Arabidopsis thaliana: one gene and its partners. The protein of the gene in region 1 purifies or fractionates together with the protein of each later gene. This does not show direct contact. Each region holds a gene or a part of one and is shown in the gene's direction. Other genes may lie near its edges.

Region 1 (4,488 bases):
TAAGGTTTGGTTGTTGTTTCTCTCTTTTCAGTTAGAAATCGCAAAGAGAAAAGAAGCGTCATGCATTGTACAATATGCGAAACGGGAACAAGAAATGGCAGAATTGAAGGTAATTCTCGAGAAACTCATTGCCTACCACTTTGATTCCTGACTGATGCTATCACATGTTTTCTTGACCATTACATAGAATAGATGTCGCTAAACACAGTCTTGTATTTTGTATTTCTAGTCAGCTGTTCGCGATTTGAAATCTCAACTCAAGCCAGCGTCAATGCAGGTATATAGTTCTCCCAATGTTTTGATTCTGGAATAATTTATACAATTGTGCCAACAATACAAATCGTGAAAAAAGTTAGCTGTTGAAGTAACTTGGACTTTTCTAGGCATAGTCCGCTTTTTATGCCGTAGTGTACCTTTTATGACGGTCATCCTCGACCTTGATGCATGTAGAGGGAAACCTTTTCCTTGCCTTTTAGATTTCAGTCTGAATACGATGATAAGCGCATGTTTCTTGTAAACCTTTACCTGGCATCTGAATTATTAACAAGTCTGAATAGAAGAAATGGCTATAAATTTTGAATTGCAATGGTCATTTAGCAGCTTGTCATGATCAGATAGCAGTGTAGATTATTTATTCTTTGTTTACCTTTGTAGGCGAGGAGGTTGTTACTGGATCCAGCAATTCATGAAGAATTTTCACGTCTGAAGGTCTGCACCTACTCGTTTCTATTTACCCTTAGACTACTTTTTCATAAGGATGTATTTGTCGTAATATATCCTTAGATAATCCAAACTGTATCTACGGAACAAAATTCCGCTTTCGTTATGAATGGCCTGAAAGAATAATTCCTTAATAACTGATAGCTGACACTGTCGTAGTAGATACAGTTGAGGACGAACATTCCCAACTTTTTGTTAATGTACATTTGTTGCAGTTAAGTAAAGAGTAGATGAAGTTTGATTCCATGTTTCTATTATGCAGAATCTAGTAGAGGAAAAAGACAAGAAGATCAAGGAACTCCAGGACAACATTGCAGCAGTTACTTTTACTCCTCAAAGCAAGAATGGAAAGATGCTTATGGCAAAGTGCAGAACCCTGCAAGAGGAAAATGAGGAGATTGGGCACCAAGCTGCCGAAGGAAAGGTATAGTTTGTTCTACTCTCAGTCTTCAATCTGGAATTATATGAATTATATAGTAAAGCAGTAGTCTTCTTCAACCTTTGTAAAACATGATTCCCTGAAAAGGGTAAAGAAATTGATGCTTGCCTATGTTCATGTGGAATGGCAGATTCATGAACTAGCAATAAAGCTTGCAATGCAGAAGTCTCAAAACGCGGAACTTAGAAGTCAATTTGAAGGTAAGTCATATGTTGATATTAAGTTATAGCAAAGATTTTTGTAGAGTTTGCAATTTGGATTTGAGGATTTTTGTGGAATGCAGGACTGTACAAACACATGGAGGAATTAACTAATGATGTTGAGAGATCAAATGAAACGGTGTTGATCCTTTTCTCTTATCTCTTAATTCCTCAAGATTTTTCTTAAAACGGAAGAATGATTATGGTTTTGTTGGAAATATGTGACTTTGATAAATCTCAGGTGATAATATTGCAAGAGAAACTGGAAGAGAAAGAGAAGGAGATAGAGAGAGTAAAGAAAGGACTGGAAATTGTGTCTGAGCTAGTAGGTGACAAGAAAGATGAAGTTGATGAAATTGATGAAGATGCAAAAGAAGAAATTGCTGGTGGAGAATAGGAATTTGTAGCTTTCAAAAAATGTTTTGTACATTTTGAAGTTCAAAATCACATTTCTTCATTCGTTATCTGTTTCATGAAACAGAAAGTTCTAATCTTCATCTTCTATTAATATGTTTTAATTCGCACCATTGGTGTTTCGATATCGATATGTGGCTTCCCGATATAACTCGTGAAGAATTTGAACTCGTCAACTCACGCAAATCATCTGAGTAGATATCAGATTAGACCAAAATAAGTGAGTCCAATTAGTTTTCCCCAAAAACATTCACAGAGGTCACGACTTTAGGTTAATCTGTTGCAGTTGTCACGAACGAATTCAAAATCCAAAGGAGCGGGAAAAACGAAGTGACGTGGAAGTATCTTAGCGAAAGCATCTCTCTCTCTCTCTCTCACAATCCATCATCTTCATTAATCTGATCAAATAATAGGGTTAATCAAAAGTCCAGAAACCAACACAGTTCAATTTTACGAAACCTCTCAGAAATGGAGAAGTACGAGAAGCTAGAGAAGGTCGGAGAAGGAACATACGGGAAAGTCTACAAAGCGATGGAGAAAGGAACTGGTAAGCTTGTTGCTCTGAAGAAAACTCGTCTCGAGATGGACGAAGAAGGTATTCCACCAACTGCTCTTCGTGAGATCTCGCTTCTCCAGATGTTATCAACATCGATCTATGTTGTTCGATTACTCTGCGTCGAACATGTTCATCAACCATCAACCAAATCTCAATCTACCAAATCCAATCTCTATCTCGTTTTCGAGTATCTCGATACTGATCTTAAGAAATTCATCGATTCGTATAGGAAAGGACCTAATCCTAAGCCTCTTGAGCCTTTTTTGATTCAGAAGTTGATGTTTCAGCTTTGTAAAGGTGTTGCGCATTGTCATAGTCATGGTGTGCTTCACCGTGATCTTAAACCGCAGAATCTTCTTCTGGTGAAAGATAAAGAGCTTCTTAAGATTGCTGATTTGGGTCTTGGTCGTGCTTTTACTGTTCCTCTTAAGTCTTATACGCATGAGATTGTTACTCTTTGGTATAGAGCTCCTGAAGTTCTTCTTGGATCTACTCATTATTCAACTGGTGTTGACATGTGGTCTGTTGGTTGTATCTTTGGTTAGTAGTCTCAATTATGCTTTTATGTTTTTGAATTCGTCTCTCTGCGATGTGATTTTGTATTTATGCTGTTTCAATCTTTGAATTTGTATAGCTGAGATGGTTCGGAGGCAAGCTCTTTTCCCTGGTGATTCTGAGTTTCAGCAATTGCTTCATATCTTCAGGTATTTTGAATTTACCTTCCATTACTTCTTCTGGTTTTGTCCTGTTTCAGTGTGAATTGCATCACTGAATGATATGCTAGCTTACCAATTGAGAACAACTGATTCTATATAGTCCAGGTTTCTTTGACCAATTATTCAATGGATTTAGCATTCTTGAATAGAGACTATGATCTTTACTAATGGTTCCTATTTGGTTCATGGAGGTTGCTAGGAACACCAACTGAGCAGCAATGGCCGGGTGTTTCCACACTGCGTGACTGGCATGTTTACCCTAAGTGGGAGCCGCAAGACTTAACTCTTGCTGTTCCTTCTCTTTCACCTCAAGGAGTTGATCTTCTCACGGTAAATAACTCCCTGATGACCATAGCTTTGTTGCAAAGTTGCTCTAATATTGTTACCTCTTGCTTCTGCTTCCCTCTTTTTTTCCTAAGCTGAATTGCTTGGTTAAATCTTTCTGATTGAGCTTATGTTTGTACAATTGCAGAAAATGCTCAAGTACAATCCAGCCGAAAGAATTTCAGCAAAAACAGCACTTGATCACCCATATTTTGACAGCCTTGACAAGTCTCAGTTCTGAAGTTCATTGCTGTATCTGTTGTCATCGTCTTGGTGAATTTAAACATTTGATCTATCTTTGTTTCCGACACATTAGTGTCTTATGTTTGGTTTAGAGATTTGTAGTCTTTCAGAAGAAACTGGTAAAGCTTGTATTCTCAAGTGAATGTAAAACACAATGGTGTGGTAGCAATGAGATGATTTTCTATCAATCGCTTGTTTTTGTGTAATCATACAAAGTTGATGCTCAACTATCTGAATCAAGTCAATTTTGAAAATTAAAGTGAGACCTTACAGGTGGAATAAAGGGTCTTTCATAGAATTGTCAAAACCCAAATGTTACGTACAATGGTATTAGTGTACACAACTGGCATTCTGACGCGCACACTTGCCCACAAATGGTTTACAACACAGATGGCTGCTCAAAGACACTAAGTTAAAAAGATTTATCGCTACACACAATTGAAGGAAACCAAATGATACATTCGTAGTAGTAGTAGTAGCAGCTAACGATGACGATGTATGTGAAATCAATTGGACCACACATGAACAAGGCCGTGTCTGTTTCCTGTGTATATCTCATTGCGTTCTTCGTCGTAGAAAAGAGCGGTTATGTCTTCCAAAGCTTCAGCTACAGCGTTTCTTCTTTGCTTTGAGTTCTTTCCCATACAATTACTGCTGCTGCTCTCATCATCTTTTGGAGGCCCACTGCTTGGTGTTATTTTAGCTAAGCATTTCCCAGTCAATATATTGCTGATATTGATTGATCCCGCTGGATCATCCCACAAAACACCAATAATCAATATCCATCAATGAGATTTGTTAGGTTATAATATCTGGTTAATATTATCTTGAGGGGTTATTTTTCTTACCATTTCCTTCTATCCACTGATCTTCGGT
Region 2 (5,617 bases), on another chromosome or scaffold:
AAGACAGATAGATCTCAGAAGAAAAAAGGGAACACAACACATACCGATCGGAAGGTGGCCGGAAAAATCGTCGGAGCTCCGGTGGTGAGTTTAGATATGTATGTAAACCGACCGTGGGAGATAGAGAGAGAGACTGAGAGAGACTGAGAGAGAATAATGATTGCGTAAAGCCGTAAAATCTGTAATGGTTTTTTTCTTGACGTATTAAGGTGGGTTTTATCAGTCTTTCTATTACACGGTACTGTACTTACTCTCTTAAAAATCTATTTTGTCGGTTTTTTTCCACGAAAATTATTTTCTTCTTTAAACTGATACACATGTATCAATATCCAAATGAAACACATTTTTATACAAATTGAAACATGCAATAAACTACGGAATATCTAAAAAACAATAAAATTAACGGCCCTAAAATTAATTTTAACTAAATTCTTTAATAAAATAAAATAAAATCATAAGTCTATAAAGTATTAGTTATTTTATGGTAGTTTAATGGTTAATAATTGTTTTTTCATATAGAACATAGGAATGTGGTTAAATTTCAGAATTTTAATACACTTTTAACTTAATTATTTGTTTATATGAGGCACTTTAAGTTTTAGAAAACTATAAACACATATGCAAAACATCAAACCAAATTATGTTTTTGCATGTCTTTTGTTGCATGCTCTATATATCCTAACTATTTTTGCTTAGTAGTCCACTAAATTGTTTCGTTTCAATCACAACCACTCAAGAAAATAATTACAATAGATTACTAAAACAAGTTAACAACAGTGTTATTTATTTACTCTTTTTGTCGTAATGCTTTAAATTACATGTCTCTTTCTTTTCATCGGACAACTGTTAGTGTGTTTTTTTGTACATCAGGACAACTGTTAGTTTACTCATGTTTTCTACATTGTACATTTTGGCAGTCAATTTTACGGCACGGTTTCCATTAAAGATATGGACGTCATCTTATGGTAAGCTGCATCTTTTGAGGAATAATACATGTAGACGTCCCTATTTATAATTTTTGTGTTACGTAACTTCCCTTTTGTTATTAATTAAGTGTGTTTATTTGGTCAATTCACTCAATCAAATCAAACCCAACGCCAAACTGCAACTATTTATGTGATTGACGCTTCAGAGTTGAAACTGCCACTTTTGTCAGATTTATTATCTCACTTCCCAACTTTTCTTTTCCGTAACTAGTGAATTTATTCATGGGAAACTAATTTAATGCATGGTATATGATGCGTACAACAAGCAATACTTATATGAAAAAAGATTTAGAAACAAATTGTATTGGCTTAACTAAATCAATTAATCATGTAGCAATTAGGTGATTTGGAGTCTATTCTCTGTTTAGAAAAGTAGTAACTGTTGTCTTTATGAGAGTTTCTGTTTTACTTAGCGGGTAAATCTACTCTAAGCTAGGTGTTTTCATCCACTTAACATGTATTTTATAATCTCATGGTTTTCACAAGTCTTAAATTGTACTTATTAGTTTGGTCTAAATATTACTCCCTTTGTTTCATTATATTGGATGTTTTAGGGATTTTATTTTGTTTCAGATTATAAGATGTTTTACAAGTTTAAATTTAAATTTAATTTGACTATTTGTGACTATTTATATTTTGCAGTTTTCATTATCATTTTTTTTAACAAAATCTAAATACTATTTTTTATATACAAAATGACCTAATATGTATCCATTTACCTTAAACCTCTTATATTTTAAAACAGAGTGAGTACATTCAGTAAGAGAATGGATAAAAACGAATTTGGAATACACAAACTATAAAAGTTTCTTGAGTACTGTTTCTATTATTGGGCCATAAACAGTGAGACAAACAGGCCCATAGAAGTAGGTGAAAAAGGCTTATTAAGATCAACGGTTCTCTCGTTACGAATGCAAAGAATCTTCTGGATCCTTTTTCTCTCAGCTACTCTCTCCATTTATCTAATAAACCCTAACCCCTCCTCCCACACTATTCGTTTACACTAACCACTTCCTTATCCACACCAATCCAGAACGTTCCTCAAAAAGCTCCCTCCTTTTCTCTCAAAATGGCGTCTGCAAACGCTCTCTCTTCCGCCTCCGTCCTCTGTTCTTCCCGTCAGGTACAAAGTTTGTTCCTTTTTACCTTCCTTAGCTACTTACTAAAGAAGAAAATGAATCATCTTTCATTACTTTGTTTTGATTGGATTTGACCCTTCAGTGTTATCTATTTTCAAAAACCTTTCTCTATCTGGTTTATTGGGTTTTTGAAGAAAGTGATTGAATTTGACCCTTTAGTTTGTTCTGTTTCAATTCAATTGCTTTTCTCTATTTGGTTTCTGGGTTGGTGAGAAAAGGTTAATTTTTATGGGAATTAGAAGAAACTGATTGAGATTAATGTTAATGAATCTGCTTTATTGATGTTGTGGGTATACAGAGTAAGTTGGGAGGAGGAAATCAGCAGCAAGGTCAGAGAGTTAGCTACAACAAGAGGACAATCAGACGTTTTAGTGTTAGAGCTAATGTAAAGGAAATAGCTTTTGACCAGCACTCTAGAGCTGCTCTACAAGCTGGTATTGATAAGCTTGCTGATTGTGTTGGTCTCACTCTTGGCCCTAGAGGTATTTGTTAATATTAGTAGCTCCTTTACTCTTTCCATCTTCATCTGTGTTATTTATCTTTCGACTTATCTTGGTGTTTTCATTTGTTATTCTTAAGGGAGGAATGTTGTGTTGGATGAATTTGGAAGTCCTAAGGTTGTGAATGATGGAGTCACCATTGCTAGAGCTATTGAGTTACCTAATGCCATGGAAAATGCTGGTGCAGCGCTTATTCGTGAGGTTGGTGTAGCTTTGTTATTGTCTCTGTTAATGCTATTTATACGGTGCGGTAATCTGGTGTTGTTATGTGGTAGGTTGCGAGTAAGACTAATGACTCTGCTGGTGATGGGACAACCACTGCGTCTATCCTTGCTCGGGAGATAATCAAACATGGATTGTTGAGCGTCACTTCTGGTGCGAATCCCGTTTCACTCAAGAGGGGAATTGATAAGACTGTTCAAGGTCTGATCGAAGAGCTTCAGAAGAAAGCTAGGCCCGTGAAAGGTCGTGATGACATCAGAGGTACTAACTTTGCAGTGACCTTCCTTGTGATGCAGCAATGTTTGATTTCTTTTACTGATCAATCTGTTCTTTTTTTTTTTTCCAGCTGTGGCTTCTATCTCTGCTGGAAATGATGACCTTATAGGGTCAATGATTGCTGATGCCATCGACAAAGTTGGACCTGATGGTGTTTTGTCCATTGAATCTTCATCTTCTTTTGAGACCACGGTCGAAGTTGAAGAAGGGATGGAGGTATGAGTTTTTTTGTCTTGCTTCTCTTCAACTGTAATTTTATTCACCATTCATTGCCAATGACTAACTTGATTATTTACAGATTGACAGAGGTTACATCTCGCCTCAGTTTGTTACAAACCCTGAGAAACTACTAGCTGAGTTTGAGAATGCTAGGGTATTGATCACTGATCAGAAGATCACTGCGATCAAAGACATCATCCCTATTTTGGAGAAGACCACTCAGCTTCGTGCTCCGTTGTTGATTATTGCAGAGGATGTTACTGGTGAAGCCTTAGCTACCCTTGTCGTGAACAAGCTTCGTGGTGTCCTCAATGTTGTTGCCGTTAAAGCGCCAGGATTTGGAGAAAGAAGAAAAGCCATGCTTCAAGATATTGCAATCTTGACAGGTATATGCAGATTTCGCGTGCGTTTAGTACTTTTACTTTCTCTCTGTTATGGTCTAAACTTTTTATCATTTTGTATGTTTTTCAGGAGCTGAGTACCTAGCCATGGACATGAGCTTACTGGTTGAAAACGCAACCATAGATCAATTGGGTATTGCCCGAAAAGTCACGATTAGCAAAGATTCGACTACCCTCATTGCAGATGCAGCTTCCAAGGACGAATTACAAGCTCGGATTGCTCAGCTGAAGAAAGAACTATTCGAGACTGATTCTGTGTATGACTCAGAGAAGCTCGCTGAGAGAATTGCGAAGCTATCTGGAGGTGTTGCTGTCATTAAAGTCGGAGCAGCAACTGAAACTGAGCTTGAGGACCGTAAGCTTCGTATCGAGGATGCAAAGAACGCAACATTTGCTGCTATCGAGGAAGGCATAGTTCCAGGTGGTGGTGCTGCTTTGGTGCATCTCTCCACTGTTATTCCCGCCATTAAGGAGACTTTTGAGGATGCTGATGAACGTTTGGGAGCTGACATAGTACAAAAGGTAGCATTTAGTTTTTCGGTTCAGTATTTGTTCTGTAACCAATTGTGACTAGTTATCTTATAAGGGTTTATGTTTTGAGTTCAGGCATTGCTGTCACCAGCTGCTCTTATTGCTCAGAACGCTGGAGTTGAAGGAGAAGTTGTTGTGGAAAAGATTATGTTCAGCGATTGGGAGAATGGGTACAACGCAATGACTGATACATATGAGAATCTGTTCGAAGCTGGAGTGATTGATCCGGCTAAAGTGACAAGATGTGCGCTACAGAACGCTGCTTCCGTAGCAGGAATGGTACTGACCACTCAGGCCATTGTTGTTGACAAACCGAAACCCAAGGCTCCTGCTGCTGCTGCTCCTGAGGGTCTCATGGTGTAATCAAAACACAACATCTTATCATCACAATGGCATCTTTGTCTTTTTGCACATTTGTCATCCCCATTTATCTGCAATGTTTTTCTTTTTTGGGGGAATATGAGTAGTTTGTTAACAGTATCGAGAAATAATTATCATCTTTTTTGTCCAATGGAAATTGCAGAAAATGGTTATGTATGCGACCAAACATTTTATATGTAGCGAGAGTAGTTTAGCAGAACAATAAGCAAATATGCGTACAAACTGAATAATGTTCCAACTTACTATACTATTAAACTAGGAGGGAACAATGTTTTTTCATGCCTTTACTAGTTTTCTCATAAAACTTGATCTGGATATTGCACTTCGATGATCTACGAACCATTAGCAGATCTCCGGTGATTCGATACTTCTCCTTGTCGTTTATTGCACAGGCACGAACTTTGACAAGCACAAGACATGACAGTTTCTCTATGAAATGTCTCATTTCCTCTAGCTCTTCAATTGTTCCTTCATATTCAGTTATCTTCAATACTTTCACAGGACATCACAATCCATATATTCTTGTAAAGTTAAGTATATATACAGGGAGATCAGACTCGTTGGAACCACTCGTACTTTGACTTGGAACTGCTCCAAAACTAAAAGAATTTTTGGTAGATGATTATGTATGTATCCTTCTCTTCCTCCTCTTCTTGTTCTAGCTTTGATGGACTAAAATACTAGTCAAAATTTTGCTTAATATATACCCCTTATTGCTTCTCAGAGATATATCTACAAAACCGAGGATCTTCCATTTTGATGGAATCAACCGAGTCTTGTTCCCGGATGCTTGTCATCGCAGCTAGAGATATTCGAGTGGAAAGGATATAGAGATAGAGTAGAAGGGGAAAAATTCTTGACATACATTTTAGCCAACTCTAAGCGTTTAAAGACCGCAACAATCTCTCTGCCCTTCGATCTTGAAGATCAAGAGGTGATCATCGAGGAGTTGAAAGATATTC
Region 3 (4,364 bases), on another chromosome or scaffold:
AATCTGTGCAACATAGGCTGTGGAAGAATGCGACCATAGAGAAGCACACACGTATCAAAGAAGTCGAATCTCTCATTACGCAAAGAGATGCAAAATATCAAAAGTGTACTTGGACCACTTTGTCTGCATTGCATGCATGAAAACTATTTATAAAAATAACAGTCTTTGGTCGAATTCTGAGACATTTAGTTGTTTTCTCATACATTACTCCAACTTTTCTTTTTCTTCCACCAATCTTTTCAGAGAAAGATACTGTAAAAACCAAAGTTGCTCGCTCACACGTGATTCCAGTCCACGTTCATTATTTATATAAAGCTTGTCATGTTAAAAGCTTTATATGATTTTAAAGATGTTTATTCTTGAAGTTTAATTGTATTTGGATTTTCTTAAGTAGTGGTATTATTTTTACGGGTTTCTTTTCTTTGAACTTTTTGGTTTTCAGTTCTTTTGTTAAGAGTTTTCCTTTTCAGTCTAAATGCAAATAGATGAATGGATCACAATATGTGTGCTCTCCTTTTAACTATTATGTAGCAAATGATTTTCGATAGCCAAAAAGACTTGAGATGAGTCTCCTCATGTTAGTTATCTAATGATTGCATATGACAATCACATGATCTTATGCTTATGCAGGGGGTTCTGAAAATTCGGTGTTCTCAAGCTAATTATATTGTAGTCCACGAATATGTTTGGTGCAAACGATATTCACACTTCTCACCTCACCAGCAACAATATTAGCTTCTAACTAACAACACTAATATAATGACTAGATATTCATTGACTTGGCCTCTACTTCAAATTCCTAATTCGTTTCCATTTTGTCACTGAAAAATATTTTAATGCAATTTACTATCTAATGTAATATTTTCTGTTCATAATTTGATGTGCGTTTCCATGATAATTTTGTATTAAAATATAAAATAATATGAATATATTCTAACTAATATACAAATATATTCTAACTAATATACCAAAAATTACATAAAATGTCTTTCGTATTCATATTTATATATTCATAAAATAACTAGAACACAAATGACTCGCTCATATTTGCAATTTCTTATCATCTAATGTAATATTTTCTGTTTAAAACTTGATGTGTTTCCATAATAATTATTTTTATTAAAATATAAAATAATTTGAATATATTGTAACTAATGTACCAAGATTTACATAAAATCTCTTGCATATACATATCCATTAAATTTGTTGAAGTATAAATCTAAGATTTTTTCTCAAATCAAAACTTAGAAAACGAATGACTCGCCATATTTTCAATCTAAAAATAACGAAAATCTAAGTTGTTATACCATATATCTTAAAATGTATCCAATAAAGAGCAACCATTGACCCTTTTCACATAAATTTTCCTTATTATATAGTTTCCCATATTTTGAATAAAAATATTTATTTCCATTATAAAAATGCTAATTTTCTTATCTTTTTAATCTTTTGTTATCCTCTCTCCTTCACATTTTATCTCTTACCAAAAATAACATTTTCTTCTCTTACAAATTACAATATTAAAAGCTCCCATCTCTCTCTTCTTTCTTTTTGGTTTTGACCCAAAGCAAATTCTACAATAGAGCAAAAATAAAATTAGAAAAGACATAAAAACAGAGACCAAATCTTTTCTTCAGTTGAATCTCTTATACTATAAAAACCATATTTTTTCCTCCAAATCCTGTAACAGTAAAATTTGTATAGATCGAAAGAAAGCTACAATTTTTGACGCTCTATAATGGCTGAATTTATGGAACCAAATCTTGTATCCAATTTTGATGATGAGAAGAGCAATTCTGTCGACACAAGATCGATTTTTCAGATGGGTTTTCCTCTGGAGAGCGAAGAGATCGTTAGAGAGATGATTGAGAAAGAGAGACAACACTCACCGAGAGATGATTACCTCAAGAGACTGAGAAACGGAGATTTGGATTTCAATGTCAGAATCCAAGCCCTTGGTTGGATTTGGAAGGTCAGTAAATCAGACAAAAATTTCTTCTTTGTTTCTTCTGTTGACTCAATTCTTACCCAAGTCAATAATCTGATGACTTTGATATGAAAAAAGACATGACTTTTGCCTTATCTTTGTTTTGTGTCTTTGATTATTATTACAGGCCTGTGAGGAACTTCAATTTGGACCATTGTGTATATGTCTAGCAATGAACTACTTGGATCGTTTCTTATCTGTTCATGACTTACCTGTAAGTTTCATCCTTGGCTTAAGATTTTATTAATCTCTTTGGTTATGGATTGAAAGGTTTATGATTCTTGTGTAGAGTGGAAAAGCTTGGACTGTACAATTGTTGGCTGTTGCTTGTTTATCATTGGCAGCTAAAATAGAGGAAACTAATGTTCCAGAGTTAATGCAGCTGCAGGTTCTATTAATAATCTCATTGTCTCTTATTGTGTAGCATTAAAACCAAAGTTGTAACATTGTAGTAATGATGACATTAATAGGTTGGAGCTCCCATGTTCGTGTTTGAGGCTAAATCAGTTCAAAGGATGGAACTTTTGGTGTTGAACGTATTGAGATGGAGGTTACGGGCAGTGACACCGTGCTCTTACGTTAGATACTTCCTGAGTAAGATCAATGGCTATGATCAAGAACCACATAGCAGATTGGTAACTAGATCACTACAAGTGATAGCCAGCACAACCAAAGGTGATAGATTAGGTCTCTTCTTTTTCAAAGGGGTTCTGGTTTTCTAAACCTCAGTTTTGCTTTTGAGTTATGGGGTTATGGACTTTTGGGGTTAGAAATGATTGATGGTGGTTGTGAAAAAGATTGTTGATGTGTGGGCAGGTATTGACTTCTTGGAGTTTAGAGCTTCAGAGATTGCTGCTGCAGTTGCTCTTTCTGTTTCTGGAGAACACTTTGACAAATTCTCCTTCTCTTCTTCCTTCTCAAGCCTTGAAAAGGTAAGAGAAGTCACCAAAAGTCTCCTTCATTTACAAAAGTAGTGGTTCAATAGATTGTCAAAAATATGGAAAATCATGAGACATAGATATAGGCATACATTAATGCACACATTGTCTTTTAATGTCCCCTCTTTGAAATCCCTTTTTATTCGAAAAACTAGTTTGTGTGTAGACCAAAAAGAAGAGTTCAATTATAGTCTTCATGTTTTGAAATCTCGTGACACATTCACATGTTGGTAAAAATGTTATTTTCTTTTGTTTTTGTCACTCCAAAATCTAATGGTTCCAATCACAATCAAACTAAGTGACTTGGGTCCTCGTAGGGACCAAAAAGGGGCTCAAGCTTTACGTTTTACTTGTCTGGTTTTTATGTGTGTGTGTGTGTGTGTGTGCAGGAGAGAGTGAAGAAGATTGGTGAAATGATAGAGAGAGACGGATCAAGTTCAAGTTCACAAACACCAAATAATACAGTCTTACAATTTAAGAGTCGTCGTTATTCTCATTCTCTTTCTACTGCTTCTGTTTCCTCCTCCCTCACTTCTCTTTCTTAATTTTCCTCATCTTCCTTTTTATCTATTTCTCTCTTTTTCCATTGTCTCAATTTGGATTTTATTTAATGAAAAATCACAGAAAAAAATTGCTTTTCTTTTAGCCTGGTAATATTTGATAAAAGCGGTTTAGAAAAATTGCATAATTAAGAAGATAAGATGGTTATGGCATGTTTATGGTAAGTACTTTAACAAACAAAAAGTGTTATGGTTAAGTAAGGCTATTGTTTGGCTTCCCGCCAAATATTATAGCGGGGAAAAACAGTTGAGCGAGAGTTGACTTTTTAATCGCAAGTGCAACGGACCCTTTTTTAAAGTGGCTCGTAAAGTTTTGGGCTTACAATTAGCCCATTTAGATTTTTTCTTCTTTGGAGAAAAGTTTGGGGTTAATTAGGTACAGATCCATTTGTATTATAGGCTCTTTATTCCTCAGAAATGGGCTTGCTACAATAAAATTTTAGTTATGATGATATAATATTAAACTTCAACAAGGTAGTGAGATTATACCCGAGAGGTGGGTGTTACACAACTCAGATCGTTGGTTGTTCAAATCAGCTTGGTGGGAAACCACTTTCGTGGTCGGTGTATGAACATGGGCCTTACTTAGCCTAAATAGAGTCAAAAAGATAATTCAATACACTACTATATTAACTAGACCATATTTGTTTATGCCAGGGCTACTTTCTTTTTGGCTATCATTGACTATAATAACATAATTGTGTTCTTTAGCCTAAATGTTTTCAAACACAGATTTGTTGTACATGGTCCCTTCTGTTTAATGAGTTGGTTAAGGCTCATTATTGTGTTATTGACAAAATGAAATCAAAATTAATGGTACGGCAATAAAAGATATTTAGAAAATGGGATCGGTGGCTATCAGTGAAATATCAGAGATTA

What was found.
Region 2: the proteins of CDKB1;1 (region 1) and CPN60A purify together in Arabidopsis thaliana (affinity purification with mass spectrometry, with the first as the bait; one study listed by BioGRID). This does not show direct contact.
Region 3: the proteins of CDKB1;1 (region 1) and CYCD4;2 purify together in Arabidopsis thaliana (affinity purification with western blotting, with the first as the bait; one study listed by BioGRID). This does not show direct contact.

Annotation. Positions count from the first base shown.
Region 1 is NC_003074.8:20,057,641-20,062,128, forward strand, and holds CDKB1;1 (cyclin-dependent kinase B1;1), read left to right. Parts: upstream 1-2,030; 5' UTR 2,031-2,241; coding exon 2,242-2,869; intron 2,870-2,963; coding exon 2,964-3,033; intron 3,034-3,236; coding exon 3,237-3,375; intron 3,376-3,517; coding exon 3,518-3,610; 3' UTR 3,611-3,848; downstream 3,849-4,488. Other genes in the region: FIP37 (FKBP12 interacting protein 37), read left to right, coding at 32-109, 230-277, 655-708, 983-1,144, 1,290-1,359, 1,443-1,498, 1,601-1,756; AT3G54190 (Transducin/WD40 repeat-like superfamily protein), read right to left, coding at 4,119-4,360, 4,461-4,488. UniProt on the Arabidopsis thaliana protein: May control G2/M (mitosis) phase progression. Plays a role in regulating seedling growth in darkness via regulation of hypocotyl cell elongation and cotyledon cell development. Plays a role in stomatal development. Required to suppress endoreduplication.
Region 2 is NC_003071.7:11,924,548-11,930,164, forward strand, and holds CPN60A (chaperonin-60alpha), read left to right. Parts: upstream 1-1,898; 5' UTR 1,899-2,055; coding exon 2,056-2,109; intron 2,110-2,423; coding exon 2,424-2,607; intron 2,608-2,704; coding exon 2,705-2,826; intron 2,827-2,900; coding exon 2,901-3,108; intron 3,109-3,193; coding exon 3,194-3,339; intron 3,340-3,421; coding exon 3,422-3,728; intron 3,729-3,813; coding exon 3,814-4,265; intron 4,266-4,349; coding exon 4,350-4,637; 3' UTR 4,638-4,941; downstream 4,942-5,617. UniProt on the Arabidopsis thaliana protein: Binds RuBisCO small and large subunits and is implicated in the assembly of the enzyme oligomer. Involved in protein assisted folding. Required for proper chloroplast development.
Region 3 is NC_003076.8:3,279,717-3,284,080, reverse strand, and holds CYCD4;2 (cyclin d4;2), read left to right. Parts: upstream 1-1,527; 5' UTR 1,528-1,738; coding exon 1,739-1,972; intron 1,973-2,114; coding exon 2,115-2,201; intron 2,202-2,276; coding exon 2,277-2,375; intron 2,376-2,457; coding exon 2,458-2,662; coding exon of another isoform or gene 2,663-2,709; exon of another isoform or gene 2,710-2,803; coding exon 2,804-2,919; intron 2,920-3,314; coding exon 3,315-3,470; 3' UTR 3,471-3,594; downstream 3,595-4,364. UniProt on the Arabidopsis thaliana protein: May promote cell division.